Linked DNA regions of Lepisosteus oculatus. The protein of the gene in region 1 purifies or fractionates together with the protein of each later gene. This does not show direct contact. Links are inferred from orthologs where the notes say so. Each region holds a gene or a part of one and is shown in the gene's direction. Other genes may lie near its edges.

The links.
Region 2: the proteins of sap130a (region 1) and suds3 purify together in Homo sapiens (affinity purification with western blotting; 3 studies listed by BioGRID, with this or other methods). This does not show direct contact. The link is inferred for Lepisosteus oculatus from reciprocal best matches to the Homo sapiens genes SAP130 and SUDS3.

The regions. Positions count from the first base shown.
Region 1 is NC_090708.1:10,117,328-10,133,170, forward strand, and holds the start of sap130a (histone deacetylase complex subunit SAP130a), read left to right. Parts: upstream 1-7,164; 5' UTR 7,165-7,390; intron 7,391-8,661; 5' UTR 8,662-8,676; coding exon 8,677-8,785; intron 8,786-9,113; coding exon 9,114-9,373; intron 9,374-10,437; coding exon 10,438-10,605; intron 10,606-10,833; coding exon 10,834-10,960; intron 10,961-11,492; coding exon 11,493-11,614; intron 11,615-12,048; coding exon 12,049-12,173; intron 12,174-12,605; coding exon 12,606-12,753; intron 12,754-12,889; coding exon 12,890-12,980; intron 12,981-13,705; coding exon 13,706-13,810; intron 13,811-14,027; coding exon 14,028-14,172; intron 14,173-14,668; coding exon 14,669-14,787; intron 14,788-14,995; coding exon 14,996-15,286; intron 15,287-15,565; coding exon 15,566-15,740; intron 15,741-15,843. Other genes in the region: uncharacterized protein, read right to left, coding at 2,330-2,902, 5,728-5,912, 6,324-6,483. UniProt on the Homo sapiens protein: Acts as a transcriptional repressor. May function in the assembly and/or enzymatic activity of the mSin3A corepressor complex or in mediating interactions between the complex and other regulatory complexes.
Region 2 is NC_090717.1:4,405,421-4,421,151, reverse strand, and holds the start of suds3 (sin3 histone deacetylase corepressor complex component SDS3), read left to right. Parts: upstream 1-7,301; 5' UTR 7,302-7,419; coding exon 7,420-7,531; intron 7,532-8,170; exon of another isoform or gene 8,171-9,070; coding exon of another isoform or gene 9,071-9,107; intron 9,108-11,249; coding exon 11,250-11,319; intron 11,320-11,791; coding exon 11,792-11,847; intron 11,848-13,363; coding exon 13,364-13,435; intron 13,436-13,730; coding exon 13,731-13,750; intron 13,751-14,204; coding exon 14,205-14,361; intron 14,362-14,793; coding exon 14,794-14,889; intron 14,890-15,398; coding exon 15,399-15,460; intron 15,461-15,731.

The DNA.
Region 1 (15,843 bases):
ATGTTTAATCAAGGCAGTTCAATACTTACTGATGTGAGGATCACTGTTTAACATCCCTGCTTTTTCCTTATGACATGTTTGGATTGGATTTGCATAGCGCCATCCACAAGTAAGATGAACAAATACATGGCTGGTCGACAAAATAGAGATTGTTGTGACAGTTTATTTCTCTCAATAATAAAAAAATCACACTAATACAATTCTTTACAAACAAATACCTTGGTTGAAGAAGTATAAGGATCCATGCCAACATCTGCATTTTTTGCTTTGACAGATGCTTACATACCACGAATACTGCACATTTCTACGAAATTTAGCTTTTAAATTCCAAGTCTGAAACTTGTTTCAGCAACGAAAGCTTTCATTTGAGATGACAAAGTGTTTCAAAACTGGTACAGAGCAAGTTTTGGCAGAAGCTCAATTCTTTCTGTGCAGTTCGTAGTGGCTATGCAGATTTTGTGTGAAATTCCATCCTAATGTTTGACTAACCTGTTTATAATTGAAAATCAATCCAATAAAAGCTAACACAATTAATGGTTTAAAAGTACAATTTGAGCAATTTTTAAAAAGGCCCAAGTAATTTCTTGAAATCAATATTATATGTTGTTGAATATTACATAAAACACTAGGAATTAAGGGAGTTGGTGAAATGCTTTTTGTCAGTTTGCTACAGACCGCCATCTAGTGGCAACTATAAGTGAGTGTCTAAAGCCTGGGTTCAGAAGGTGCATTTGCCAAACAAATTCACGAAAACTGTACTCAGTTTTCAGAAGATAATCGAAATATGGTATCATGGCATAATGGAAAAAAAGGAAACTGTTTAAACCCTTTGTTTAAACATTTTGGGAAAACGAATTCTGTTAAAATGACAAATTTCCATTCAAACTAAGAGTAGGAATGTGAAAGTTTATTGAAGTAAAAAAAAAACTTTTCAACAATTTAATCTCCAATCCTTTTATCAGAATTAACAGAAGGTTATGAAACAATCTTAGATAAGTTAATTATTCAGTATCCTACATGAAATGCACTTATGACTTCAGATAATTGTTATGTCAACTGTACTAAACAAAATCACCTTCCATACCATACATGGGAAAGAAATCAGGTAGATATTTGATTAAATATCCCTCAAGTTTTGGAAAAGGTTGATAAAAAAATATTTGCACTTCTTGCTCTCAATGAACATTTACATGACAAAAACACTTGATTTCTAAAATAATTCAGCATTTCTTGTCTTTTCAGATGTCTTTGACATATAGGGCCTTATTCAAACTACCTGGGCACTTCAGACCCCCTAGAAAGCAGAAAGGATTTAAGTGCCGAAGTTTTGAACAAGGTCCCCTTATGTTTTCAGATGGACGTTCATGGCGTAAGACTGAACAGACTTTCTTCAATAACTCAACCTACACAAACACTTTGACTTAATATAAGGGCGACACACAGCTTTTGCCATAAGTTATGACAAACATATAAGAAAGAGGCAAATATTTGACATTTAATTTGCAAAAAAAAACATTTGCTCTTGCAGTTGTTTTCTTGCAGTGCTCCAGCCACGTTTCCTGTAGAGCACGGCATCCCAAACACATGACTGTTGCTTTCAGCAGTCTTATCCTGTGAAATTCATGGGATAATGGGTTAAACTAAAAATAAATATAATTAGGTGTTTTATCTTCACCTTTGCACCTTTAATTCCACATGGTTGTGAGTCTGGAAGGCAACTGTAGAAAATATAAATAGCACTGATGGACCTGCTACCACCCTCTAGTTACAGAGTTGGTTTATCAATATTCTTGTGACTGGCCATCCAGTCAAAGCTGTATTAAGGAAGGGGGGGGGATTTTGTTCCTGGGGGGTGTTATTGTTTGTATATTTGTTAATTGATTGTTCTGATTGCAAAAAAAAGGTCAATCACAAAAAACAAAACTGACACGGTTTTGCTGTGGATGCATACGTTTGGTTCATAGAAGAACCATGCCTCCTTTTTTAATAAATACAAACTGCAATATTGGAAGACAGGGGGATGTAGCAGTCAGTGTGATATTGCCTCACAGCTCTGGCGGCTTGAGGCACCTTCTGTGTGGAGTCTGCATGTTTCAGTCCCATCAAGGATGCATCCTGCCTTGTGCCCGTCTGCCGAGTTAAGACTCCAGCTCAGTGCGATGCTGGAACGGACGAAACGTTCTCCAACGATGAGCGGAAGACTTAAGCTACTACCACAAAACAGCTGTGTCCCCCTCAGACCGAATGATCCCAATCAACTATCCAAAGATCCTGACCCTCCACTCTGGTCTCACGGAAGAGAGGAATTGATGAGGATGTGTGCTCGTCCCTACGGAGAAGGTGAAGTTTTGATATACGATACTGCATTGCTTTCACTCTGGGCGTGGGTGTTGGTTTTAGAAGAATCCGGAGCGATAACATGGAAAAACGATGGCGCTGGGCTGCAGCTGGCGATGACCGGACCGCAGAGAGGGTGATGTGGCACAGGGATAGGAGGCGGCGGCTGGGCTGACCCCAGCTGGACGTCAACCAAGACCTGCTGGATACGCAACCGTGCCGTTTTTTGCATTTGAGCATCTTCCATCAGCCTGAGTTCTGAGGCTATGTGTTTGCCAAAGATGTCAAAGGCATCCTCCTGGGAGGCTAGCCTTCCCTTAGCAAAATTGTCCGAGATTGTCTGTATATACGAAGCGGCTCTGGCAAAGAGAGCTGCTTCATTAGCCTTTCGTTTCCGTTTGTTTGTCCCTCTCGCAGCGACGTGACCGCCTGCTGCGCGCTTCGTTAAGCGCGGCAGAGGGTTCCCTTCTCTGCTGTCCTCCTCCGCGCCCACGTCGTTCTCATCTTCGGTCAGTTCTCCTGCGCTTACGTCCTCGACGGTCTGACGGGCACTGTTCTCGGGAGTCTGCCAAATATATGGAAACAGGGCACCTGTTCAGGCTCAGCAGGCTCAAGGGCTTGTGCAGAATGGAAATCTCGGCTTTGGGAACATGTAAACAGGCAGTTCAAGTAGGGAGCTGTGTCGGCATGCCCAGGCTGCGAAGGAACAAGTAAAGGTTTATTGCACGCTGAAAAGAGAAGAAAGGAAACACAATGTTTCGGCTGTGGGGCCTTCTTCCACACCTGAAGAAGGCTGCACAGTCGAAACATTCTGTCTCTTTTCTTTTCAGCAAGGCGTAAACCTTTACTTGTTCCAACGTAAACAGGGATGCTATCTGCATGGGTTTTCCCTCCCACAGTCCATAAACATACTGGTAGGTAACCTGACTTCTGGGAAAACTGGCCCTGGTGTGACTATGTGCGTGTCTGTGTTTGTGACTGTGACAGAGCAAGCAGAAGCTCACTTAAAAAGCCTCTTGCTTCTTGGAAGTATACCGGACACACCTGCTTGCCCGACTCATTTGCCGCCTTTGGAAAAAGGAATTCCACAGGCAGAAAAGGGATCAGCTGATCGGCCCTGTACATAACTGGATACTCCTCAGGAGCAGCAGCAGTCAGGTGTAGAGGGCAGAAGTGCTGCATTTAAGCTCATGCAATTCAGGGACTAAGAGCATGTTAGTGGCACCCACATTTCATAGTGCATTTATTAATCTCCTGTTCTTGAACATCAGCAGTGAGTCAGCAATCCTAACACCAGTTTGGGTTTGAGAAGTTAGAAAGATCTAACGAAGATGTGTAAGGGTCTTGTTATGGGTGGATGTAGTTAAGAAATATGGAGAATTTAGCAGGGTGTTTTTCTATAGTGTGTTCTATATTCTTAGATTAATTGGAAATTTTCCAGAATCTCTGTAGAGTAGTAGTCTATAGGGTTTATTGTTGGAAACTGGGCGCCTGTGGGTGAAGCATGCCAGTAGGTCTTGAAAGAAACTGGGAACTTGTATCTTCCAATGAAGGGAAGGCTGGCAGTAGAAGGGGGAGCCCAGCTGAGTGTGACAAGGGTCCCAGAATAGGGATGGGACAGATTCCTTCCAAAGGCAAGACTGGCTGTAGATTGGAGAGCATGGCTGAGTTTGCCGGGGTTCCAGGGAATTAAAGGGGAACAGCAATGCCATTTTTATATTTCGTGGGTTAGAAAGATTCAGCATTGATGACTGAATTTCAAACCACAATAAAAGTAAAATGTACACGCCAGCTTGTAAAACCCCCAACTTACACCACAAAATACGCCGACATTTCCAGGTGTGCGTAGTGCCGCGATGTAGGATTCAGAACAATGCAACAAAACGTCCGGTGACCCGATGAGGGCCTATTACATGATAAACAAGTGGGCTTCTGAATGCATCTCTTTTAACCCAATAGAAATATTGCTGTCCATTTTTAGACTGTTTTGCCAACAGGTGCTACTTACTTGTCAACTCTACATGCAGATCACTCTAGCAGTGAAATGTCTGCTGCACAACCTGTGCTCGTTCGCTTGTACATCGCAGTTCATTGGTCATTACAGAGACTAGTGAGCAGGAAGGGCCGCATCACGTCGCAATTCGCTTGTGAGTTGGCGACATCATAGCAACTTACAGTGCATTCGCAAACTCCACAATTTCATGCTTAATTTGCAATTGGTAAAATTCTTCTATAACATCAATGAATTTATTTTGTTAATTGTATTAAGTTCCCACACAGAGAACTAACACTCTTGTGCATTCTGCTTCCACTAACCTTCACCGAACACTCCAATTTACCAATAAAGTACATCTAATTGAAACACTATTTACAAATCTGTATAAATCAATGCTGTAATGGTCCTGTTGGTGGACTTATTAGCGGCTTTTCCATTCCAGCAGCCGAGCTCTACATCACTAGTGCTAATTGATCGGCTTGCTTGTTTAGACTTTTATTTCAATTGTTTCTTTGATCAGTCCTGAGTGTCCAAAATACCCAACTTGCTGGCCTCAGCTTGCTGGCCATTATTTCTGACCCAGCTAGCTGAATTACTAGCCAATCAACTGATGATGAAGAAACAAAGGTGGAAATAACACTATCAGAATGACACTGTATCAGACAGGCCCTCAAAGAGCATTTTTTTCTGCTTTAGAGGCAACACACATGTATGAGGACTGTTCAGAGATCTAGACATTTTTACAGGGTACTAAATACAAACTGCATATATATCCCAGAACAAAAAGCAAATTTAGAAATGTTCCTCAAACAGAAACCTGGAATCAATTAGGCTGCAATTAATACCTTGGCAGCAGTGAAAACCAGCACGCACTGGAGTTCCTGGGTTAGGAAACACTGGTGCACTGCATGAAACGTGCTGGATTGTGGCTCTTATGGATCATGGTTTGCCATTTCTGGTATTTACTACTAGTACTGGTGTTTTGGAATTCAGCTTGTGCTTTTGAAAGTGCTGGGATCTAACACTAATTTCCACTCATTTCTGTTGTGATTTCCCAACCTATTAAGAAAAAATCAGTGCAAACACTACTGTATATCTGTAATCAAGAAGGGTAGAGAAAAGAAACATTTCCAAAAGATTTCAGTAAACTTTCAGCCTCAGAACTAAAGCATTAAATTACACCTACTTCCCAATCCTAATTCCTGGACTAGAAAAATGCAGAAAAGCATTGCCCTTAGATGTTTTTTTAAAAAGTGGAGAATTACTTTACTGTGACTTACATTCTGAAGGAAAAGCTGGTAGGAGAGAAAAGAGATGGGCATCTGGGTTCAGTGGAAAGGGTGTATTTGCCCAGTGCTGGCATGTGCAGGCTGCTGTTCCTATTTTGCACTTACCTTTAAATTGGGTTTCGCAGCCCGTGGGTTGGATGCTATTAAACCATCCAGAAATTTCAATAGTGGAAGCAAATACCACTTAGAGAGAAAGGCTTCGCCACACCCGTTCTGAGCAGTGCTTGCCTTTCGTTTCTCCCGGGCATACTGAGTTTTCAGATTTTTTATTTTTTTGAGTACCTCTTCTCCTGGAAAATAATAGATAATTGTTAAATCTTGTCTTTTTTTTATGCTTACTTTTAAGCAACTGGACAACCGTGATCTGGAACCCAGGAAACAAAATTTGAGGGAACATAATGTAATTAATGTAACTGCACGTTCCATTTTCCTATATCCTTAGGTAAAAACAGTTTGTACAGGTTATTTAACGCAAACATAGCTACGTATATCTATATTCCAAGACTGCCTGAAAGCCTCTCACAATTTTGGCGAATGACAAAACAAGACAACGGAACATCTCTTGTTGAATGTGTTCGTCGGGAAAGTACTGAACAGTACTTCCAGTTAAAATGGGATTTCCTCTTCAACCGTCGTAAATTCTGAATTAAGTTATATGGCGCCACCTTTGGACTAGGTACAAGGTTTTTTTTTACACTTACCAGTGGTACCCAATTGCTGGGCAATTTCCTCGGAATCGTGTTTTCTACACCATCTGTCGTGATATTCACGGACTTTGGGGTTGTACAGAGAGGGCTTTGCTTCCCAAAGGTCACAGAGCTCCTCCAGTTTCTTACGCGTCCAGAAATCTTTCCACTCCATGGCAACAATTCTATATTGTGATTCTGTATTCGAAAAAAAGGTTCGGCTTCTAACCCTGATCAGGGATGTGCAGCCTATCGGGCCACCTCTTTTATTATCAGATGGATTCGGGGCTGCAGCGTTTCACGTCTGCACGGTCTTTGTTGCGCAACTTGTTTCTGTGTTGCACAACAAATGTTTTCCGGTTTGTAGTGACCTTTTGTTTCCTCTCAGTGGACATCAGAAACCCCTTTTGACAAAAAGAAAACCCAACCCCGCTAAAAAAAATAAATAAAAATCTTCACAGCCGTGTTTTTGTTTTATTGCACGTCAAAACCTTTTTTTCCCGATACTCTAGCAATGGATAGAACACGCCCTGTCGACTGTAAACAGAGAATCCATTAAAAATTCACACAAGTAGACAACTCTCCACTTAAACTCTGAGCGTTAAGGAATGGGTGGGCTTTCTGTTGGTGAATAAGGGGCGACTATATCTGCTACTATTGGCCATTTAAGCAGCAGTACATTTTCATGCGATGCGATTGGTTAGAGATGAAGGATCTGTGTGCCTATTGGCGCTTATTCGTCTCCCGGTCCTCCTCAGCGGGCCGTCTGTAATTGGCCAGGCGCTTTGCCTTCTCTCTTGTGATTGGCCAGGCGGCCAGAGCGCCCTCCAAGGTTAGAGCCTCCCCTTCCGGTGTTGTTGCAGAGACGGATGGAGAAGCTTGAACCTGTTTAAGCACGGCTATAGAAATGAGTTTAGACTTTTAGGTATTTGTTTTCAGTACACGAATAGCTGTAGAAAGAGAATTCCGCGACGTCGTCGGGTAGATGTCTAAATTATTTAGCGAAGTGGATATTCTGTTTTGGAATTTGACTTAAGTGTATCATTTTCATAGAAGAAGGAAAATTTGGGAAAATCTGTACGGTAAGGGACTCTTTTCATTTTTGTCCGCAAATGACTTTTCTAGTGCATTATAGCAGTATCTTAGCATCTATTTTAATTTAGCGTGTTTGAAAATACAGGTCGGAGAAAAGCGGGATGCATGATGTTTCCTACGATGTCTACTTGGTCAAATTGCTATTTTTTCGGCTGTTGTCCACGCGTCATTTTTTTCCGCATATTATCCTAGAAAGCCGAGCATCTCCGATTTTTTTTTCTAGGTTCATGACACGTACGGGAGGAAAACAAAAGAATATGTGCGCGGATGATTCTGTAATTACTTGTTTTGGGTTTGCTTAAGGACGTTTGCGATGCAGATATGACCCCACAGGAAGCGAATCACGTTTATCCCGATACCGGAGTGAATTAAAGTGGTGTGTTGTTGGTGGCTAACTGGTCTGGTACTGCTCTTTCTCCTAAGAGTGTAGACCGTACATAACTCGTATTGCCTTCACCATATCGTGAATGCGTTGGTCCTCGGAGACCACTTTCTAGTATCATGAAGGGTATGATGATCTCTGTATGATTGTAAGCATTTAGAATAACTGCATAACGTCATCCAAGCGAAAACAAAGCACTTGCGCGTAGCCAGTAAGCCTTACAATTCCCCTAAAAATGCATGCCCGGTATTGAGGAATCGTTTAATACCTCGATTTTCTTAAACAACATTTCGTTGATCATACGAATAAGTAAATATAGCTTTTCAAAATGCAACTGTGATCATCTTACCTAGAAGCAGCGACGCTTTGGATATTTAATCGAAGTTCATAAACCGATGGTTTATCAACTGTTAATTTCGGTAATCGCGTGAATGAATGAAAATCCAGCCTTATTTCAACGGTGGGAAGTGCCGATAACGTCATTCATGGAGCAGGCGATTGAAGTAAAGGAGTCGCACCTTGATATAATAGACTATTTCGAGTCCAGTGATATGTGGGGTTTTTTTGTCTCGTTTTTCATTGCAGTCCTCGTGGGAGTCGTATCAATTCTCGATGAACGTTTAAGATCTTGTATAACGTATAAGATATGGTCTTGGTTTCTCAGAATTTGAGAATTCTAACGTTGTTAAAGCAAATAGGATTCCTCCATCGAAGGATGTCTGTTTGCGATTTTGGCAGTGGGGAAAATCTCATTTAACACCCACCAAGAGATGATCCCAGCCGGCTACGGAGAAAAGTCCATTCTTTTCATCTTTTTTTTTTCATCTCCTATCCAGTTGTTTCGATTGAAAGTAAGACTCTTCTCCGCATTTACAGGACCTTCGTCAAAAGATGAGCTCCCAGCAGTTTCCAAGGGCAGGAGTTCCAGCCTCTAGCCTGGGACAAGCACAGATGACAGGGGGAAACTCCAGCCTGGCTCCAGGAAACCAGACTGGCACAGGTAAAAAAAAAAAAGAAAGCTTGAAATAATTAAGCCTACTGTAAGGTTCAGTGAATCTGCGTAGAGAGGAATCTTTGAGAAGCGCTTTGAGTAATTTTTAATAAGCGCTTTGAGAAGCCACCTTTAAAGGCGCTATATAAAATAAAGTTTATTATTATAATCTTGTGGAGCAGATTTTTTGTGAGTGTCTTGTAACCAAAGCCATCCTGCACTAATAAGTCATAGAAGGACCCAAGTGTCTCGTCTAGCTCTCAGACCTGTGACGTGGAAAAGGGCCGCAGGGCCGTCGTCGTTTTCTCACCCTCCGAGCTGCGCGTTTGCTTCGCAGGGGGCGGCGAGGAAGGCTGCCGGGAGCCGGAGCACACTCCACGCGACCACCCGCCCAGCGGCGGGGGGGCCCTGGCCTTCCGCGACGAGAAGCAGGAGACGGTGGTGGTCAGGCCCTACCCGCAGGTCCAGCCCCACGGGCAGCCCCTGACTCTGCCTCAGCACCTCCCGCTGCCGGCCGGCCCTCCGGCTACCGTCTCGGCGCCGCCGCCGCACCTCGCCCAGGCCTTGCCGCTGTCTTTCACCGAGGCGTCCATGAAGGTAGGGCACGGCGAGCTCATGGCGTCGAATCGGCCGATAGACTCCGCCGCCGGAGGTGTGGCATGGGTTTCTTTTACCTCTAGGACCATAGCCATTTTTTCATTTTTTTGTAGTTGTTCTGAGGTTTAATCCAGTTGTTAATTTTTAATAGTTACATTTTTTTAACGTAACCCAATGAATGAAGACCCCGCAAAATTTCATTGACTTGCAGTTCTCCTTAATTCTAAATCCTTGTCCCTCCCTGAGCTGTATCTTTACTGAGCGGCTTTAATACAGTTGAACGTATAAATTGTGCTATTGATCTTTTCTTGTACATCATTTAAAACAGAATGGTGCCAAATGTATTGATTTATATTCCTGACTTTCCTCTATGCCTCCGGGTGTTCTTAGTTTTGAGTGCCATGTGCATAAAAGTAATAGAGGAATTGTGTGCTTGAGTGTGGAAATCAAGCAGACACATCACTAAGATCACCATACGATGTTAAATGAAGTCAGGATTTAAAAAAAAGCTTTTCTTTTCATGCCCCCCCAATTTGGGTTTCTTTATGCAGACTTAAAATCCTAAGATGGGAGAGTAGGTATTTGGCTCAACCAATTTGGTTGGTTTCTAGTTGGTAAGAGTTTGAAGAACATTTTTTAAGCCTTTCAGCCTTGTTAGTCTTGACTTCTTAGAACTATTCACTCAAATTACAAGTCAGCGGTGCCTTGGTATAGAGTTTCTGTCAATCGGAGGAGTGGAGCTTCTCTTGTGGACAATAGTGCTAGCTCGCTTGTGCCCTGCAAAACAAAAATGTTTTTCTGTGGGTCAGGCAAGCAAAGGGAGGCACCATTTGCAAGCTAACTTGCCTGGCTAAGCCAGTGAGGCTCAGTTATGGATACAAATAGCCAATGGCATGGCATTGGCACTCACCAGTGCTGTCTGGACTATAGGACTCATTCTTGCTTTCTGTTCTGGACAGGAGCCTTAGGTGGTTGAGCTGCTTGGGGAGGCCCTTGATCCTCGGCATGTGGCGTGTGATCTCTGCTCCAGCATCTTTCTTGATATGTTCTTTGTGCTTTTTCAGTCTGCCCTGAAGCCAGCTATGCCTAGCCGCCCCATTGCCCCAGCACCAGCTTCTAGCCAGGGTCACCTGACTGTTCCAGCCAAGGTTCCCGGTCATGTCACAGTTACTATGGAAAGCAGCATGCCTCAGACTTCAGCTATCCCCGTGGCAACCATCAGTGGGCAGCAGGTGAGAGGATAGCACCTTTCCGTCTTCTCTCAAGGGCCTTAAGGTTGCTGTGCTTCACTGGGACGTTACACCAGTTTCAAGTATTTTGGTGTTTGCATCATTTGCCGGACCTTTTGCACGTCTGCATTTTTTTTTATCATGTCGCAGGCCTTTTGAAATTTCTGTTTGAGATGCGCGAATGCGTGAGCTAAGTCCTTTGCGGATGTTTCTCCCTCTCTCCCCTCTTAGGGCCACTCCGGTAACCTGCATCCGTTAATGGCAGCTAATGTGCAGATCATCCGTGGCAGCACGCCGGCACTCCAGTTAGCGTCCCCTGCGGCCCCACCTCATACCTTTACTTCCCACTTACCCAGAGGTCAGCCTGTCTGCTTTTTAAAAAGGGGAACCTGTTAATCTCCTGGCAGTTTAAAGGTTGAGTGTATCTGTGTTTATTGAAAAGGCACATCGCATGGTTGGATTTAAAACAGTCAGGCACTTTAGATGCTTCTCTGTAAAATGAAAGTATCCCTTCCAATTAATGGATGTAATTATAGCACATCGTAGTTCACCTTTTAAGGTGATGATTGCATTAATTATTGTCTTACCTGGATAGCAGTTGAAAATGTCTGATGAATGAGTTCATAGCCCTTGGTTTGTAAGAGAATATAAGTGTTTATAGGAGTCAGGAGGCCGTCTTACATGATTGGTTATGAGCTATTTGATATGGATATTGTAATGTATTTTGAGCCGCCTTTACTGTGGAGGCTTTCTGCTTACTCTTTCTCTTCCATAACAGTTTAGGATAGTACAGCACCTAACAAAATAGTCTGTACATTATAGCATTTGATGAATTGGGTGTCGTATTTTAATAAGGAGCCGGGGGTATATTGGTTCTTGACGTTAAACAGGAGCAGCAGCAGCCGCTGTGATGTCCAGCTCGAAAGTGACTACGGTTCTGCGTCCTGCCTCTGGTCCGAGCGCCGGGGCGGTCCAGCCCACTGTGCAGCACATCATCCACCAGCCCATCCAGGTACAGAGCTTCTCTGCCGTGACTGGAACACAAGGTGTAAGGTCTCTGTATCTTGATTAGTGGTGTCTTTCTACCATTAACGGAATAACTGTTCACTCTTCACAGATTAACTCATTGGAGTGTTATAGATGCCTTATTCTACACACAATGTGTAGATGTTATGTTTCTATTTATTGAATTTGAAAAGCTGAATTTTATTTTAGCTGATTTTCACATACTCTAGCCTGTATTTATAGCATTTCTGTTTTGCTTGAAAGTAATCAAGTTTTTATAGATAAATATTTCTCCTTAACTCATTGACTGTTGCCGGATGTTGCATTAGCAAAAACGTTTAATGCAGTCGTTGGGAGGTCTTGCATGTTACGTGGCTAATGCTTAAAAAATCGGAACCCATTAAGCTTTTCTAGACTAAGATCTTCCCCCCTCTCTTTCAGTCTCGCCCCCCTGCCACCACCTCCACAGCTGTGCTTCCTACTGTTGTGGCTCCAGTCTCTGCGACCCGGGCCCAGTCCCCAGTCATCACCACTGCGGCCACACACACGGCTGAGATGATGCACGGGTGGGGACATCAGCAGCTCTGTCTGGCCAGTTTTGCATTTCAAGAATTTAGGAGAAAGTTATTTCTGTTTGATTGTTAACTTGTTTTAATATCGCATACCAATGCTGGAATACCATTGAGGTTTGGTGATCTAGTTACCTACTTGAGCCTTGTAAAGGGACCATCACAGCCGTTCAAGACGATGGTACATGCATGTGTACCAGGGAGGCCATGACATGATCCCTGTTGGCCACCATCGCATGGCCAGGGTATTGCATTAATAGAAGGCTTCGTCACCTTGATCCATCTTGGGAGTCGTTAGCCAGAGCTGTTGATCCAAGAGAGCCGTACCAATGTGTGAAGGCATGCAGCGTATTCTGTAAATCTGTCCCAAGGGTGCTGATATTTTCTGATCACTTGGCTTAGCTCTCCCTTTCCTTATCTGATTTGTAGCCGCCCTGCTCTTACCATTCACCAGTCTCCTGCCACCATTAGTATCCAGCGGCAGCCCCAGTCTCGAGACAGTGCCACGCGCATCACTCTGCCCTCCAATCCGGCCATCGGTACCCAGAAGCCGCAGCTGCACACCATGACTCAGCAGGTATCAGAAATAAGTGGTATCTGGATGCTTTATTGGTACATAGGCCTATTGTGGGCTTACTAGGATCCGTTCAAGTGTCCATTATAAAGTGGATAATCTTTAATCAGCATTTCACTGTTATTTCTGCTTCTTTCAGAAACCTCTTTATAGCAACGTGCCTCCTGTTGCTGCAGCTACAGTAGCCCCAATCCTGGCCACGAACACAGTGGCATCGCCAACCACAACTGGTAGGTTGCAGCAATAACTTCAAGAGCCCCAAACTGCTCTCTGGAGAGACTGTAATATTGCAGATCTCTCTAGAGTAATAGAATGATGTGTTAGTGAATATTTGAGAATTAAGCATAGGTATTTCTCAAACAGGATATGATTACTATTGCAACTCTTAGGACTTAGATTAGCATTTTCTGTATCTAGATTCTTCTGAAAACATTACTAAAATAAGGATTCTGTTGTGTATTAAAGAAAATTAGTCTTTTGAAAGTAATGAAAGCAATTGCTGCATCTTAATTACAAATGTCTCGCTATCCAGTGCGCTGAGTGAGTAGATCGTGTAAGCCGATCTATACCAGAAAATAGTGTCTCATTCTAGGAAGCAGGGACAGAGGCAAGTCTTGAGAATGAAACAAAAGCATCAAGGGCATTTTCCTATTATGGTATGAAATACAATAATGTGAAAATTGGTATTATTATATAAACTAAAGGGAATAATATAAAGATCATCGAGATGTTTTACATCCTAAACAACTTCCTGACGTATTGAGCTTTATGAATTTAGGGGTATTGTTCCTTTTGTTTATGTCCTTAACAATATCTTATGTGTTATTGGCGATCAGGGTGAATATCAATATGGTTTTATTCCACCAAGACATGGTGGATAAATGCAAGGGTATTGTTTAATTAAGGAGCTGCTTATAATATTGGAGCTTTTGATCTTGTTCATCTCCTGTCTCAGGATCCGTGGGCCATACCCAAACAACTACCAGTACAATAGTTACCATGACGATGCCCTCTCACTCATCGCATGCCACTGCAGTGACCACCTCCACAATCCCTGTTGGTAAGAATGTTTACTCCTTCCTCTGTACAACCCCATTATATTCTCCAAACCAACCACAGTTCCGAATAAAAAATAATCCTCATTTAAACGTGCTGTTATTTTAAAAAATCAGGTGCTGCAAGAAAGGCAAATTGGAATATCTAACTTGGTATTGTGGCAACCATTTCTAAATGTAAATGTATGCAGTTGGAATAACAGCTCAAAATTGTGTTTTCAGCGAAGGTGGTTCCTCAGCCCATAACTCATACCTCTCCACGCCTTCAGCCTGATTACCCTGGAGAAAGAGCAAGCCTCCTACCAGGCTTAGCTGGGCACAGGTCTTCTCCAAACCCAGTCACCATGGAGGCTAGGAGTGACAACAGGTGAGTGTTGCTGTTTCCGCCCTCTGTCTCTATGTGATATCAGTTCAGTATTTCTTTACCTATGTTTTTTATTTGCAGATTCTGAAAGATTATAATTTGTGCTGTGAAATGTGAAGAGAATGAATCTTTGTCAAATTTATATTTAATTTGAGAAGAATTCGAAATAAGATGTCACACTGTGCTTTAACACCAACAAGACATGTTTGGCTTCGACCCTTCTGTTTGGACTTTCAAGCTGAGATGTGAAAGTCAGCAAATGTTGGCTTGGATTTACAAAGGAGTTATTTGGATGCCTTAATAGCTTATATACTACAATGCGGTTTCTAAACAGAAGTCCGAGCTGCTATAAAAAAAAAATTGAAGAAGGCAACTGCCTTTTGCAATTTATTCTTGTTTTACTGTTTGAGATCTTTGCTCTTAAGTGAGTGATAAACCAGTTAGATATGGATTGGTTTTCCACCCCAGTATTGTAATATGCTTTCTCTGCCTCCAACAGGCAGTCTGTGCCAATGCAAATCCAGTACTTCCTGCCAACATACCCTTCGTCTCCGTATCCCCTGACACACACTTACACGCCTATCACCAGCTCTGTCTCGACCATCCGCCAGTACCCAGGTATGTCAATAAATACGATGACCAAGCTGCAGTAGCCTGTAGTTTTGCATCTTGTCACTTCTCTGTCCTTGAAAGTTCACATTTGTAGTTCTAATGTGAACTCCAGTGATGTGTATCCTGTGAAAACAGGTTATAAAAGGAGGGGAAGCTGTGTGGTGTGCCTTTTCATCTAAATGTGATGGTGTCGTCTGGCTTTCTGTTGTACCAGTGACTCCTCAGGCCCCCAGTTCAGCCATGCCTGCTCAGGCCGGCGTCGGCGTGGCACCTACTGTCCACCTGAACCACATGCAGCTGATGGCGGTGGACCGCATTGGTCTGCAGTCTGCACCACTCAGCACGCAGGGAATGCAGTCTGCCGCCGCGATGGGAGCGCAGGGGATCCAGCCAGCACCCATCGGAACACAAGGGCTCCATACGTCTGCGCCCATCAGCACCCAGGGGATCCAGCCAGCAACGATCAGCTCTCAGCAGCAGCAGCAGACAGAGGCCAAGGCATCAGGTAACCACAGGAACGAGAAACAATGCTTTTATCTCGCATTTCTGTGCAGCTTTGCGTGATGAAAACTATTTTACAGAATTCTTCTTGCATTTTATTAAAGAAATCTTTCGTTGAGGATTTTTATGCACCAAATGACTAAATCTCTGCCTAAATACCTTTAGCGTTCTGGAGGGGGGGGGGGATTTTCAAGTAAACAAGTCAAATTTCCTTTTGATCACAGCATATGGGTGTTCCTGTTTTGCAGCCTAATTAAAAGAACTCCTTTGCTTTGTCCCATAGTGGTTTTGGCAGATGGTTCCACTCTTGTTTCCAATCCTATTAGCAACACGTTCAGTGCAACGCAACCTGTTTCCACAGTTGCACAAACGCACCCGCAGAGTGGCAGCTCCAGCACTCCCACGCTCATTTCCTCTCCCCGGCCTAGCATTCTCCGCAAAAAGCCCGCCGGTGAAGGGTAAGCATGCCAGTGATTCCAGTTCGCACATGCGTTCTCTCCACCCCAAACTGGTCTCCTCTTCCCTTATTTTTGTTCCAAGCGCAGCTTTGTGCTCCACTGG
Region 2 (15,731 bases), on another chromosome or scaffold:
TCAGCAACCTTTCTATGGTAACCCACATGATGCTTGGTTTTAGATTTCACATTACTGTAACTTTTCTTTTAATTTACCATTTTGTAAGGCTTTATGAACACTGCCTAAACTGGTGACACACATTTATAAATTTCTCTGTAATAAAGATCACCAATATACAGCATACTGACTGTAGATGTTAATTTCTTTACAAAATCATCAAAACATCTTTCAAGTAAGCAATATGCATTTTAACAGTAAGAAAGAAAAGGCAAAATAATATTCTTGTAGACATTTAAGAGGGTATTCTTATTGCAATTATGTCATTCCTAATGTACTGAACACCCTATCACTTCATTGCTTTTGCAATTAACTGCAATGTTAAAGAGAAAGCCGACATAAATGAAGGTGTATAGGGATGGTCAAATGTGAAAATGTTACACAATCCCCACTTTGAAACTCTTAGATAGCATTCATAGATAACACAATGCTATAAACGACACTGATCAAAGATCAACTAAAGACTTGTCAGAGAAATATTTCTAATACTCCGCGACTCTAAATAAAGAAACACCATGCTGAGACGAAGGGGTTTCCTGCTCATATGTGCACATGCCTTTTAATTTTAGCAAACCCTCATGTAGTACATACAGTAACACAAATCGGTCACTACAACAAAATGAGAACTAACAGTCTACAAATGTAGATGCCAAATCAGCAAATGCCCGATTTAGCATCTGCAAAACTGGGGTACAACATAAAAGAAACGTTTGTTTTTAATGCCCCCGATACTGAAATTTGGGTGGGACAGTTCCTTTTAGGAGATGGTTTAATTCAGTTGTGGAGGCTCAAATAGACTATTCTCAGGTATACAGATTAAAAAAAAACCCAATATTAAACCAAATCCTGCACAGCATAAGGTTAACAGGTTAAAGAACACGTGGACAGAGTAGCCACAAATATAAGTGGTATTCTGCATCCACCACTATACAGCAGGTCACCTAAAATTTGAGAAAATAATCCCCCAGCACCCCCCATTCACAATTGTACTGTACATTTCAGATGCCATTTCTCCAAAATATTCTTTTCCATTCTCTTTTTCAAAAGGTCGTTATTTACGAACGGCAGAATACATTCCTAAAAGAAAACGACACATTTTGTCTACCCTGAAGGGCTGTAAAATGTTTTTTTTTTCCCCAGACACGTTGGGGAGAAAAGTGGAACTGGGGAGAAAAGTGGAACGTCACTCTGTTTGAAGAGAAATCCTTTGTAAATCATCTACGATTCTTCTCTTAGCACTCTGAAAAAAGTCTGTTCCCAGCGCTGAGAATCCTTCTCCTGGAGATTTGAAACTTCATTCACACCAAGATTATACAAAGCCCTTTACAGAGCAGTTTCTGTGCAGTGATTAAGTCTGTTGCCAAGCTTTATAGCTCTGCTCTGTTCTATGGCCTGTCTGACTTGGCAGAAGCTGTTTTGCAGTGGCTGGAGACTGGGCTAGAACTAAAACGGTAACTAGCCAGGCACTGCTTCCTAACAAAAGAGTTGCTGCCGTTAGTCATTATTCAACTCACCTACTCGATCTGGTGTGCCAAATAAACTACATGAATTAACCAGTGGCCTCTTTCTGAGATTCTATTAAAGGTGCAATATCCCATGCTATAGGATTTATAAAATGTTTACTTATTCAAGGTTTTTCAACATTGGGGCACACGCTGAGAATCTTAGTTTAGGCTACACACAATACTTAAAAAGAGCTACCTTTAAGAAAAACGAACATCTCTGTTTCCGCGTATCGGCAATACATCCATTTTCTCTCACTGCTCTTACATTTCCTGTCCTGCAACACAGAACCCGGTAAAACTAATCTACATGTATTTGTTGCTTCTGAGCCTGGTAAAAGTAATCTATATGTATCCGTGGGTATCAGAGGAAAACTTAGCTCTACCTTAAAGGAAACCACGTGTAACAGAATTACAGACATTGGACATTTATGGTATTTGTTTTATCTATGTTTTTTTTACAAAAATTAAATCTCATACTGTATGCATGGGAGGAGGACAACAGAGTTGTGGGGAAATTTCAGGTACTTCAATTTCATACTGCTACTGTACGCAGGTGCTCCAGTCCACCCAGCTGTATTTCCAGGGCTAATCCCTGCAGTGGACTGGAGTGCTGTAAAAGGGGGACAGGGAGTCACGTGCTCTCTCGTCTGCTTAACGCCAAGGAAACCAGGATAAGCTGCAGCCCAATGATCCGCTGTGGCTCGGTTGTGGACAAGATCTACTGCATCTATGGCACATTCGTGGATACTGGACAGCCTAGTCTGATTCTACTGCACATCTGACAACACAACATTTTCACATAATCGCTTTTGGCGTTGCTTAGCAGAGAGCCCATGAACCGACTGCGAAAAGAGCTGAACTGCCTGTTCACCTAATCGCCCTTCAAAAACACAACAGAATCTAAGACCGATTAAAAATGAAGTCTAAATCATAAAACTAACTTTTAATTGTCATTCCGGGCTTTAAAACTGAAGCCTCTCTGTTTATTCAATCTGGGTTTAATCAATATGCACTCAATCTCCTATGTAGGAATCCATATTAAAAAAAAACTTCCAAGGAGAAAAAAAACTGTCACAGTAAGATCTCAAGGCTGTAACATTAGCACATTATAGTAAAAGTACTATTTTTACTTGAATAATTTAATAAGGTACATATCTAGGATAGTTAAATAACAGCATTATAAGTTACACAGAATGAGATTAAAAGTACAATAGGTTACCATTTAACTTCCAATTTATGACTGTTCAAGGAGCAATGTCCCTTAATAACCACACATTAGCCACAGATTCACTGACTGATAAAAGAAATTACTCTGCATTAGGAACATCACTGATGGAAAAAGACAACCCCTTTAGACAATGCATTTCGGATATGGGCCTCCGTAGAAAAAAGCAGGTTAAATCGTCATGTTATGCTTACAATTTACTTTGTACCGTATGTTTTGTTTAAATTCTGAACTAAGATACAAAATAATAACGGAATAATTTCCGTTTCCACGGGCAAATGAAATAGTAGCAATTTAACAATTGTAAGCCATTTCAAGTAAGTCCTTATAAAGACTGAGTGCTTAAATATTGCTGCTATGCTGTCATGAATACTGTACTCCTAAAGAGACCGTGCATCTGTGAAAACAGAATAGCTCGTTCCTGTGCAAAGCAGACATGTTTTGAAAATACCGTACTAGGTCATACAAACATTGCCAATATTCAACATGTTGTCTGGTAACATTGTTGCTCCATGGACAGACAAATTACCCAGCACGTTGCTGGAACATGAAAACAATTTATGGTATACAGTTTAAAGAACATTTCCCCCCCCTTAAGAACAGTCATTCTAAGAACCAAGAAGCCAAAGAGCTGAAAAAACAGTCTCTTCCCTATTTTCTTACGCGATATCACTTCCTTATGCCTCTACAATTCTTTAAAAACAGAGCTTTGAGGAGAGGTGTACTCACTGCTGAAAATGTCAACACATACCACCCTGAAGCACAACATTAAACGTGCTTTTCATTTTTTTCGTGCTAAACCTTCTTTTCATTACAGCAAATATAATTGCTGGTTTGAACGTTAAAGATAATTTATTTCGAGCTGTAGCAGGATCGATGTATCACTACAAGTCCTATTTTTTTATAAACGCGTCATTCACATTTAATTGTCTAGAGATAGTGCTGTTATGAATCCTATAGGGATACTGATGCTATATGAACCACTCTGTACCGGTACTCAAAACGAGTGTAACAAAAACCGACAATAAACAGCAACATCGTCTCAAACAACGCAAAATCGCGTTTAGGGCTTGAACTACTGCGAATCAAATAAAATGAAGCGAATGTGTAATGCGCGATGCCATCTCGTTTTTGATACGGCAAGAGGATAGATCTCCGTGAAGAAATAAATAAAAGTGCGAGGTAAGGTGATGAAGTCAGTCGCCATACGTTATCTAGAACAGCACTCGCTCGTAAATAGGCGTATGCTACCGAAATCGTTCAAATACAAAATTGTGGTTTTGCGTTTAATAAATCTTATTACATTCTGAATGTTTCAAGAGACCGTCGTCTGAAGAAGTTCATCTGTGTATTATTTTGGATACTAATATCACACCTTGTTAATAATAGCGTCTTGGTCGAAAAGGTACATTTTTGCTGGGTTAGTATTAAGACCTGGGTTGAACAGACACAGGATTTTTTTTAAATAAAAAAAAATGCTAATTAGGCCTAGTTATACTGTCGAACCTAGGACGGAAAAAACAAGTACTGTACCTCTATTTATTCCTCGCTATCATCTTTAGCCACTGCGTTTCTTACAACGAGTACACCACGTTCGTCAAATTAAAAATAATCATAATCATGCAGGTTGGGTAGTAAATTACAGAGAAGTAACACAGCCTGTGCTTCACCGTCAGGTTTATCGTTCTGAATAGTACTAAGCACGTACAAAGACACGAATTTCAAAATAAGTTACATAATTACCACGGCTCGACGTTACTTCACATCAAGTGCTGTACCCAGTCGAGAGATTAGCAGCTTTAAGAAATAAAACCCGTTCACTGCTAGTTTCTTTTCAGCGTGCACGATAATAAGGAAATATGCGAGACAGGGCAGTACGCACGTATCTGTATGATTACACCGAAACCGTAACTAAATTACTTACGTGGTATACATTTAGGATGCTTTTCCTAGACTTCCCCACTTGGCCTCTTAGCCTTTTGCCGGGAGGTTCAGAAAATTAACAGAACCTTATAATAAAAAGGATATTCACATCTAAGATCCGGGCAGGTGTAGCAGTTCCTGTACTCAACCCCCTGAGTTCAAGTTCAACTCGGCGTGTAGAAGTTACACCACGTCATTGCGTTCACCACTTGCTCTTTAAAAACTTGTATTAACTCCTTTCTGCAGAAGCGAACAAACAACAACAACAAAAAACAAAAACGCGCTGCCAAATAATTTCATCTACTGACCGTCGAGCGTTAGGTCTCCTCCAGAAAAAAAATCCAACTTTGATCAAAATCATGAAGTCCGCCTTCGGGGTTTTTTTTTTTGTCAACTGGGAGTTTCGATCTCTTTTTTTTAAAAATGCAGCTTGACTTCCTGAATGAAGACTCGTCTTCGCCAGGCCCGGCAACGTCGTGACAGCAGCAATATAGTCACTATCCACAAGCGGAAATAAGAGTTAAAACAAGATTTTTTTAAAAAAAGAAGAAAATCCTCGTTTCTCCGTCGCCTCGAAAACCCAAGTCACGCAAGTCTTTCGCAGCTGTGCTGTTAAAGTGCGGTAAAGAGAGCGGCGGTACTCACTTTTGGTGTTGTCAGTCTATTTCGTCTTGCAACATGATAAATACAGATTGGGATATTTCTTCTCTATTTTCTCTCGCCCTGGACTCTGAGGTGCGGTTCTGTGTTCAGGATGCACCAATCGAGCGCAGAGCGCATCAGCGGGCGGACAAGACCTTCGCACACGAAGGAGGAATATCGGTTATCGATGATTTCTCTTGCGCAATTCTTAACCCTCGGTGCTGGAGGGCAGAAGGTTTGACCCGAATAGGACTTGCTCGACTTGCTTCGGACCCAAACGTGTAGTCTCTTTCACCTTTGAGTAGAAGGCAATTTAAAACAACAACAACAACAACAACAACAACAACTCTTCGTACTAAGGTTTCTTATCGGCCCTTCAATACTTAGCCCAAAAATGGAAATGATGCAAAAAATAAAAATAAGGAATCGCATAATTGATTTTAAAAAAATGTACTAACAGGCAGGTGATGCGGTTGGACATATTTTGTTAATTAGAAACACCACTAAAGGGGCCTTTACAGCTAATATTTAAATTGAACATTGGACAGTTCTCAGTTCTAGGTATTCCCGTGGAACGTGTTACGGGAAATTGCATTTTGTTCATCTGAAGAAACACGCGTTCAAAGGCATTTTCATACTCAAGTCAACACGACATTTTTTGTACTCAAGTTACTTATCTATACAATTTGGCCTGCCTAACACAACCCTAAAATAGCAAACGAACAGCGTGTCAAAAAATACTTGTTTGAGGAAATAATAAGGAGATATGATGAAATAATATATATATATAATATTGCTCATAAAAGTTCTGATGTGAGATATCAAACAGCTGCTTTAGGGCTCGGTCACTCGAGAGCTGTCTATCCCAATGCGTGGAAGGGATCTGAATTTAGCATTTTGACAAGGGTTCTGCATTGGGTACAGTATGTTAAGGGTAATGGTAAGGCAATGAAAACATTAAGTGACTGCTGGGCAAAATCTAACCAGATGAGACCGAAATAAGACACGTTTCAGGTCAAAGGCACCAGCCTTATAGGAAAATGCACATTGACAGAATCAGTAAATGTTCGTTACAGATCGACAAGTGTAGATATTTACCTCCAGGGTGAACAGCTGAATTTAAATTATGAAAATCGATACTGTATACATTTCCTACTCTGATTTTACTAAACTTTTTTTACTAATGGTTTTCAGACGAGGTACAAATCACGGATTACGGCTCCATCTACTGTTGACAACGAGAAAGAAATGGTACTTGGAAACAGTTTGGGCATTGCTTTTAACATTGTTGCAACATTAATAAGCAATTATGCGATATGGGGAAAAATGCACACTATGCTTTATTAGCCACAAATATATTTCATAAACGGCCTAATAATTAAAAACAGCCATGCCATAACATGGATTTAAAAATAGGATTGTATAGATAGCAAATCTTAATTCGATACATTGCTAATAAAAAGGAGCGACTCATTCTAGTAATCATGAAAACATTTTCTTATTTCTACGTTTTGCAAAATTTGAAAATGTAGTTATTCGCTGCACTGCTCTGTAACGAATAATTAAAAACTACATTTCCCATAACCCACCGTGTTCGCGCCGTATATATAAGAAGGACAGACGCGAACGATTATTGTTTTTAAATGGCATGCAAAATATACAAAGTCGAATATTTTCAAAGACAAATAACCATTTCACGCTTCGTTGTAAGAAATAAAGTAAATACCAGTTAGAGAGAGCTGAATAATGATAATTTTCAACAGAGCGCTCATTAATGAAGCTGTCTTTTACATTGCCTGGCGGAAATGGAAAGTATGCCTCATAATAAATGTAACCTCATAAGATTTATTTCAATTTTAAAAAAATATATTCTCATATTTCATTCTAAAACTTAAGATATTTTCAGAAAAAATAGTCACCGATACACGAATGTATAATTTCATAGCAGGCATAACATGGGTCTTCTCGAAAATCGAGGGGTCTTAGCCATCTCGGGTGCTGTTGTGTTTTAGAGCTGCATATGTGTATCGATATAGAAACGTTAGTAAAGATTTTTTTAATTATATTTTCTTCTGAATACATAAAATGACTTCGGCGTTGTTATCGCCAGTTGTGGATTATTACAACGACGACGAAGAATTGGACAGCGTAGATGAGGACGACGATCGGAGTTACAGAGGGAGAGATTCAGAGGAAGGTACTGACACGAACGACTGCAAAATGTGGAGTTTTACTGTTCAGTCGGGTTGTTTTCCTTGTTTTCAGTGCAGTATCATACGAGGTTTGTAGTAGATTCTGCTTGCAGGACATTTGAATGGAATTGTATTAGGAGTGTCTGCTAAAGTAGTCGAAACCTAGTGATATACCGTACTTTTAATTTGTTGTCTCCGGAAGATCAAACCGGGAAGAACGGTCGCCTTGATGCATGTGTACCTCAAGCAGATGGGGAGGGACGTACGAAATAAACAAATGTAAAGCACGTTCAGTTCATGTGCATGTTTTGTCCGGAAATACATTTTCTTGACGTTTTGCACAAAGCACTGGACGTGCGAAACATGTACCTATATTGAGCAAACAGTATCAACACAATCTCATAGGGTAATCAGGGAAGATTAAGGCAAATAAAATATAAATCATGTTATGGGTATGGAATATTTTACTTAGGTGAAGTATCCAATGTAATTTGTTGTTTAGTGAATGGAAAGGAAACTCAGAACTTCACTGCCCACAATCAGTTGATTGACAGATGACAGAGATTGAAAATGAGGATGTAATTGGTTTTGCGGTAGCGGAAGCTTTTACCGGATTGGACGGAGGCAGTGTCATTTAAAGTGCACGAACAGTTGTGTTGAAGCAGGACACGAAAAGAGAAAGCTGTACTCGTTTCGCTTACGACCTTAACGTTTCTCTCGCCTTTGAAGCCATGGCAACGTATTAAAGGACTGCGATCAGTGGGCCTGTATTTCATTTAAATCTAAGTATAGATTATCGTACAGATGTATTGGATGTAATGTAAGAAACTGCAAAAGATACCTGCTGTACTTTTAGTTTTTATTCTACCAGACTGCATAAACCTGTCCTGTAAGCGTTCAGTTTACTACGGCTGGATTCAGTTTCTGAATTGCATGCGATATGGTAAAAATAGGGCGATATGGGTGTGATAGTATAGCGAATCATTTGCTACATAACTACGCATAGAAGGCAAGTCTGGTTTGAGTTTTATCTGGAGCAAAACTAGAGACTGAGTTACTATCGAGGCTATTGTAACGTCGGGGCCCGAAATGAGGGGACATTTTAACTCGGTTACCTTTGGGAAAGTCGAGGATCGTTAATTGTCTTAAATCGTTTCTGATTGCACCAACAACTATAGCTGTAGATCTAGAAATTTCGTGCTGTAGTTTAGATTGTGGAAATATTCTGGAGTAATGTTGCATAGTGGCCGCGAGTCGATACGATGTTTCCGAATCGAGTAACAGAGAGACTAAGGTGCCTTGTGATTCTGAGGTTTACGTTAAATGGTGTGTGAGGGGAATTCTGTATTTGTGAACTGTGAAACGGTAAATGTTAAAGTGCTGCAAACGGCGTCCTCCTTGCCGCTCTCCACGAAAATGTTATGTTAAAAACTACTTTGTGTGCAAAAAAAACTGTGACAAGCAACCCATATTTCTGCAGTCTCTTAAGTGACGTCACCTTGCTGTACAGAATGTCCACTGTGCTGTAAGAGGACAGCAGCTGAATGGCTGGTAACGCGCACGTGCTTATTGCAAACGAAGGTAAATGGCATTCTTAATGTGGTGTCAAGCTGGACAGAATGCTTGCTTTGTGAAATGTGGGCTTTGTTGTGTTGCTGCAGATATGTGCAGCATCTTGAAGTATGACTTGCATATACTACACACAGTATCTATTTTGTGAGATGCAATAGAAAGCACTCCGTATTGTCAGCAGTTATTTAGTTATTTGTGTTAAAAATTAAAAAGACAAATGCCAAATGACAAAGAAAGGCAATTTGAACCTTTTTAGTAACAGTGAAACAAACGTTTAAGTTGTATTACTATCACACCAATTACTTTAAATCTGTTCATGTTTAACAAAAAAAAGGGACATTTGTAGGATGCCTGTTGTAAGGCAGGCTCCAGTCTTTTGAAGGCCAATTTTGCTAAATCAGTTTTTCTTGATATTTCAGAAATTGTGCCCAAAGCATGGGAAATCTAAAGAAAAGGGTTTTTGCAGAAAGTTTTGAACGGTTTATGCAATTCTGACAAGGCCATGACTGTATTAAACTTAACTTCTTTATTGAAGTTGGTAAAAATTAAAATTCTGACTGAAGGACATTGTATCAAACCATTTTGCCCAGAGATATACTCCTGTTGTTAAATTTAATTTTAAAATATAAATGTTATTTTTCATACAACATTTATAAATTAAAGTACATGAATAATACTATATGTTAATGGTGGGCAGTGTCCACCAGTACAGGGTGTTTTAGAGGTCTGACATGTCAACCTTTGAGTCTTTTTAAACAGACAGATGACACTTCATAGGAGGTAGTATTTAACTCATCAATAACATGCTAATTGCAAAACAAGATTTTCCACATTGCCTTTTATTGAAGTGCATTTATTGATTTCATTAGAGACTAATTATTGATTTTGTAAAATGCAATTTCTTTAAAAAAGCTGGCATTTAGAAATGGAAAATCTTAAGTAAGCTAAATGCTGATTAACACAAGAGGTGATATGGATCAAACTGCTTATACTGAAGGGAATTCAAATCCTCTACACAAGGAATACTGTCATCTGTTTCGTAGGACAGCTGACAATTTGTAATGCTTCTCATGTTTTGCCTTCAGGACTCCTCTGTACAAAATTAATCTCCTTTACAAATGTCAACCATCAAAAGAAGCTTAGCATTCTGTTTATGCATGTCATTTTTTAGAAAATTAAAGTATGTTGGGCATTGATTAAATGTTTTTAGCATCTTTTTGATCCCTCCTGACTAGTCATGATGGACTCAATTGGCTTTCTTGCATAAGCACTCAATAAAGTCATTAGTGAGAGAGTGGACTGGGCAGAGGTGTTCATGTCATTTAACATGTCAAATATGAGAACCTAGTGAATCTCATGGAGATCAGTATTGCCCTGTTTACCGAGAGCACAATATCTTTCATGCCAAATCGTCTTGCATGGACTCACCAGCAGGGCAGCCAGGCTTTTTGTAGTGATGAATCAAAGTGTTATATGAACTATTCCTGATGGAGTCTGCAAGTGTGGTGCAGAGGAGTAGAACAAGATGCTAATTGTCGCATAATAACAGACCCATAGGTGTAGAGGCCCAGGAGTGATAGCCTGGCAAGGGTGTCTAGTTGCTACAATCCTCCACTTTTTTGATGGTGAGTTGACAGTATATTGCTGAAGTCCTGGGATGTTATTCGCTGCCCTTCTTGCAAGCTCATCCTGACCCGGCAGCATTCCAGGCTTTTTCACAGCCCACGTCTTCATGCACCCCGTGTAAGGAAGGCTTTCTTGTATGATGAGAATGTGACGGTTGTGCTGCTGATGGGCTGCCTGGCCAACATGAACCCCATTGAACTTTTGTGTGCAAAGCTGGACCAACATGTGGCATATAGGAATCAGAGACCAGTGAACAAGAGCCATGCTTGTCTAGGTTTTATTAGTAGAATTGGACAGAGTCGTACAAGACTGTACGTGCAACATGGTGCAGAGTCACAGATGTACAACTACCAATGCTTTTCCATGGTGGCTACATAGGGTAGTAGCCTTTGACCTTCACTGCTGACCAGGCCTGATGATGACAAATATTAATCAGCATCATGAATTCACCTATGTTGTGTCAGTTCAAGAAAACAAAATAAACCTGAGACTGAATGTTTGTTTTTTTTTGTTCATTTTTTTCAGACACAGAAGATGCCAGTGAAACAGATCTGGCGAAGCAGGATGATGATGACTACGTAGAAATTAAAGAACAGTGAGTGTTACAGCAGAACATTTTTCAGAACATCTGGAGCTCCTGGGCTTTATGTTATGGATTGGAAGACAACACATTTATTTTAAGATGACGAATGTCTTTAGACAAGACAATAACAGAAACTGTAGATTCTTAGAGGTCAGGCTTTACATAGGCAAACAGAAATTATTACTGCCCTCCAGTGTCAGTCATTAGTTATACCATGTAACCACTTTTTCTTTGTTTTTGGTATTATGTAAAATAGTATAATCTTTCTTAAACTTGGGTTCTTCAAGATCAGTCTCGTTTATATTTCAGTGAAATAAAATAACAGTTTTTTAAGGTGTTGCGGCCTTGTATTACTTTGCATTCACAGCACAGTTTGCTGTAATGATAGAATTAAAATAACAGTGTTTCTTTTCAAGAATCCGCATCTTTTATCACTTTCAGGAGACTTTCTCCCTCTCGCCTTACTTGCATTTCTGTCTTATAGAATGTACCAGGACAAATTGGCCTCCTTAAAACGACAGCTGCAACAACTACAAGAAGGTAGGAGATCTTTCCCTTTCACAGAATTGGGCAGTCTTCCTCTATTCATTTTCCTCACTATAAGGAAATGTCTCCGTGGCAGATGAAAATGGATGAGAATAATCTGAGGTGGCAGTATTGCATCTGTTTTTTATTTCTGTTCGATGCTTTCAGATTTATTGCAAATTCAAAACAAAGTATTTGAGTGAAGCAGCATTTTCTTCTGTGTCTCTATAAAACAAAATCCGAAAACAGGACACGAGATTGCTCAGATTTGGCTGTGTTTTGGGAAGGGTATCTTCAACTCAGCTATTTTGAGGGGAAAATGTCCCCTTGTTCTGCTGTTTTTTTTTTTGCTTAAATACAGCTGCTCACTACATTTACCTGTGTGGGAACAAGTAATAGGTTTATTCCATGCTGAAAAGAGTAGAATGGAAACAAAATGTTTCTTCTTGTCAATAAAACGTTGTGTTTCCATTCTTCTAAAAATAAACCTATTACCTGTTACTTTGAAACCTACAAATGCTGATGCAGCTACCCACCTGAACAACTGTACATTTACCTTTGTAGCAGAGGTAGATTCTGCTGGTTAGTTCTACTGCTGCTAGCAAGATGGCTGCCTCTGCATTTTGTTTCTGGTGTCAGGGGTCTTTTCTTGATGTCTTGTGTATGGAGGTGTTCTTTTCCTTGGGTTCACTGGGCTAAGGAAGGGTTTGGCCGAGGAAGGGGGTACAGCAGCAAACCCCATGAATGCCTCGTTGACCCCACGCCTTAATCCTGCTGTGTGAGAATTACTGGGGTCTTCTGGAGTTGGGCTGGGAGAGAGTGGCCATCAGGAAAGAGATGAGACTGAGAGATAGGAGAGCATATGTGTTATTACATGTGGATTATGTTTATTATCTTCTTATTTATTGTTGTCGTCTTCTTATTTATTATTGTCATCCTGTAAAGCGCTTTGAGAAGCCACCTTTAAAGGCACTATATAAAATAAAGTTTATTATTATTATTATTATTATTATTATTTTGCTCTTCCCAAAAAATATGGAAACAGGCTGCCTGTAGGCAACAATCGGCATAGCATATCTAACACCCTGAGAGAAAGCCATCAGTAAGAAACAAGTGTCAAGTAGGAATTGATTGTAACCATCTGTGGACTGCAAAACAGTCTTTCAGTTGTCGGCAAAGACAAGAAATCACTTTTGTGGAAGAAACTAACATTCTTTTTTATATTAAAAAGGTGGGTAAATAGTGTTTTTCATGTAGTTGAATAATTGACATATTGTTTATATTTTGCTTTACCTGAAAGTGGTTTGATGGTGGAAAAACATTTTTTTTTCCTGTTCTCATCTGGGTCTCCAGTGAAAATGTTTGAGGAACCCAGCTAAGTAACAGACTGGAAAGGACTGTGTCACACAGTGCCTGAACCGATGCTTTTTAAGTGACTGATAATTTCTTCTTTACTACTTGAACCCTTTGGGTAATTTGCTGTTAAATCACCTTGGAATTCTTAAGAAAAGCATATGTGTTATACACACAGGTACTCTGCAAGAATATCAGAAAAGAATGAAAAAACTTGACCAGCAATATAAAGAGAGACTCCGAAATGCAGGTGATGTATTCTCCATGATTTGTAAACCATATTGAATGCCTATAATCAGATGGTTGTAATCCTGATTATCAGAATAAAACTAGATCCTTTAAAATATGTCACATCTATACATTTCATCCATCTTTCATAAATAATTTTTGATGATCATAACCTGTTGTAATACAGTGTTTAGTTATGTTATAGCATAACATTGAGGATAACTTTTGAAATACTGTGCTTGTATTCTGTATGATTTCATTATTTTGGCAGTGGTTATGTGAAACAGATTTCTTACAGCGCTCTGTTTTCCTTTCAGATCTTTTCCTGCAGCTTGAGGTAATTTTAATGTTATATCCATTTGTTTCCCAAAATGATCAGTGTTCGTGTTCATTGCTGTCAAAGTGAGGACAAGATTACACTGATGTAATCTTGATGAGAACATTACTCGCACATTGTGGGGACAAAACCATTAATGGTGACAATTATGTTTTTTTTTTGTAACAGATCATCCTTACCCTTTTTGCTTACTGTGTTTTCCTTCTATTTTTCTTCATATTTTTATGTTATTGTCTTTGGCTGACGTGCAGTGCTTTTTCTGTCACCAGAGCTGTCCTGTGTAATACTTGGACCTTTATAGATCAGTTTTATTTTAAAATTCCGCACCTCTGCAGACAGGTGACGAAATACGCTTTGGACCACATGGATGTCTGTGTGCCCTTGTCATGTTTTTTTGGGGGGGGCTGGCAGATAATTTAAAGATTCCGTGTTTTGGGTTTTCTTTTTGTTACAGACGGAGCAGGTAGAAAGGAACTACATCAAAGAAAAGAAAGCCGCAGTGAAGGAATTTGATGATAAGAAGGTCGAGCTGAAGGAAAACCTAATAGCAGAGCTGGAGGAGAAGAAAAAGATGATAGAGAATGAGAAATTAACAATGGAACTGACAGGCGGTGTGTAGAAAAAATTAATCAGATAGCAAATCGCACTTATAAAAGGATGAAAAGACGTCTCAAATAGCTGTACAAGAACTTTTTGGCTGACAACTAAGGTGTAATTTATTTTTCTTCTGGAACATTTCCTTCGAAACCAATAAAAAAAAATCCTGATTTCAAAGTTTAGTTTAACATGACCCCTTTTAAATTAAGCACGGACTGTAATGTATCTCATTTTCTAAAATACATATTGAAGAAGTCTTGCAAAGGGGATTTTTGCCTACATCGAGGCTTAGCTTAAGCATTTCTAAAACAAAAAGGGCTTTAATCCTTGTCATTCTTGCTTGAAAGGAATTTTGTATCATTTTGATGAATGACTGAATCTTGAAAGGTTGTGCATTATTATAGTCATTGGTTTGCGAACTGAGCCGCTTGTTTTTCTTCATGTAGATTCCATGGAAGTCAAACCTATTATGACACGGAAACTGAGAAGGCGACCCAACGATCCTGTCCCCATACCAGATAAAAGGCGGAAACCTGCTCCCGATATCCTTGTCAATCCATCCATCCGTTTTCTAAGCACTTCTTCCTGGTCAGGGTCATGGGGGTCTGGAGCTTCTCTCCACCAGCAGCAGGCACAAAGGAGGGTATACCCTGGACTGGATGCCAGGCCATCACAGGGCAAACACACATACAGACATGTGCACACCTCCGCCAGGGCTAGTTTTTCCAGAAGCCAGTTAACCTACCAGTATGCTTTTGGACTGCGGTAGGAAACCCCTGTTCACGTGGGGAGACCATACAAACTCCATGCAGATAGAAGCCCCGGTCCAGAATTAAACCCAGGGCCCCAGAGTTCTGAGGCAGCAATGGTAACCACTGCAGCACCACAATCCCCGTCTATGTGATGTTAAATAACCCTCTGTCTGTTCAGTCATAGCAAACGAAACAAGCACAATTATTCAGCTGTGGTGTTTTGGCCAGCACTTTTGTGGAACTGTTTTCCCAGTGGAGGATACTACAATACTACAGACGTTTTCTTTAACTCCTGTTACCCCAGCTAAACTATTTACTTACAGATGATCAGATAATGGAAGACTTACGGACACTGAACAAGGTCAGTATAGTTATCTTATTCATTTCCCGATAAGGACATTTTGGTCTGTATAGATAATATGCATTGGTTTTGCATTTGCATACATATATTATGTAAATTAAATACAGCAAAACCATACGATGTATTTCTCATGATATAAAGTTTAACACTCCAAATCCAAATAGAAGCCAGGGAGAAAACATGGTTAACATTTCCTTCTGTGTATAAGTCTTGCATCACTTTCCTGCTCATGATGATGGCAATATGCTGAAATTACTTTGTATTTTAGTTA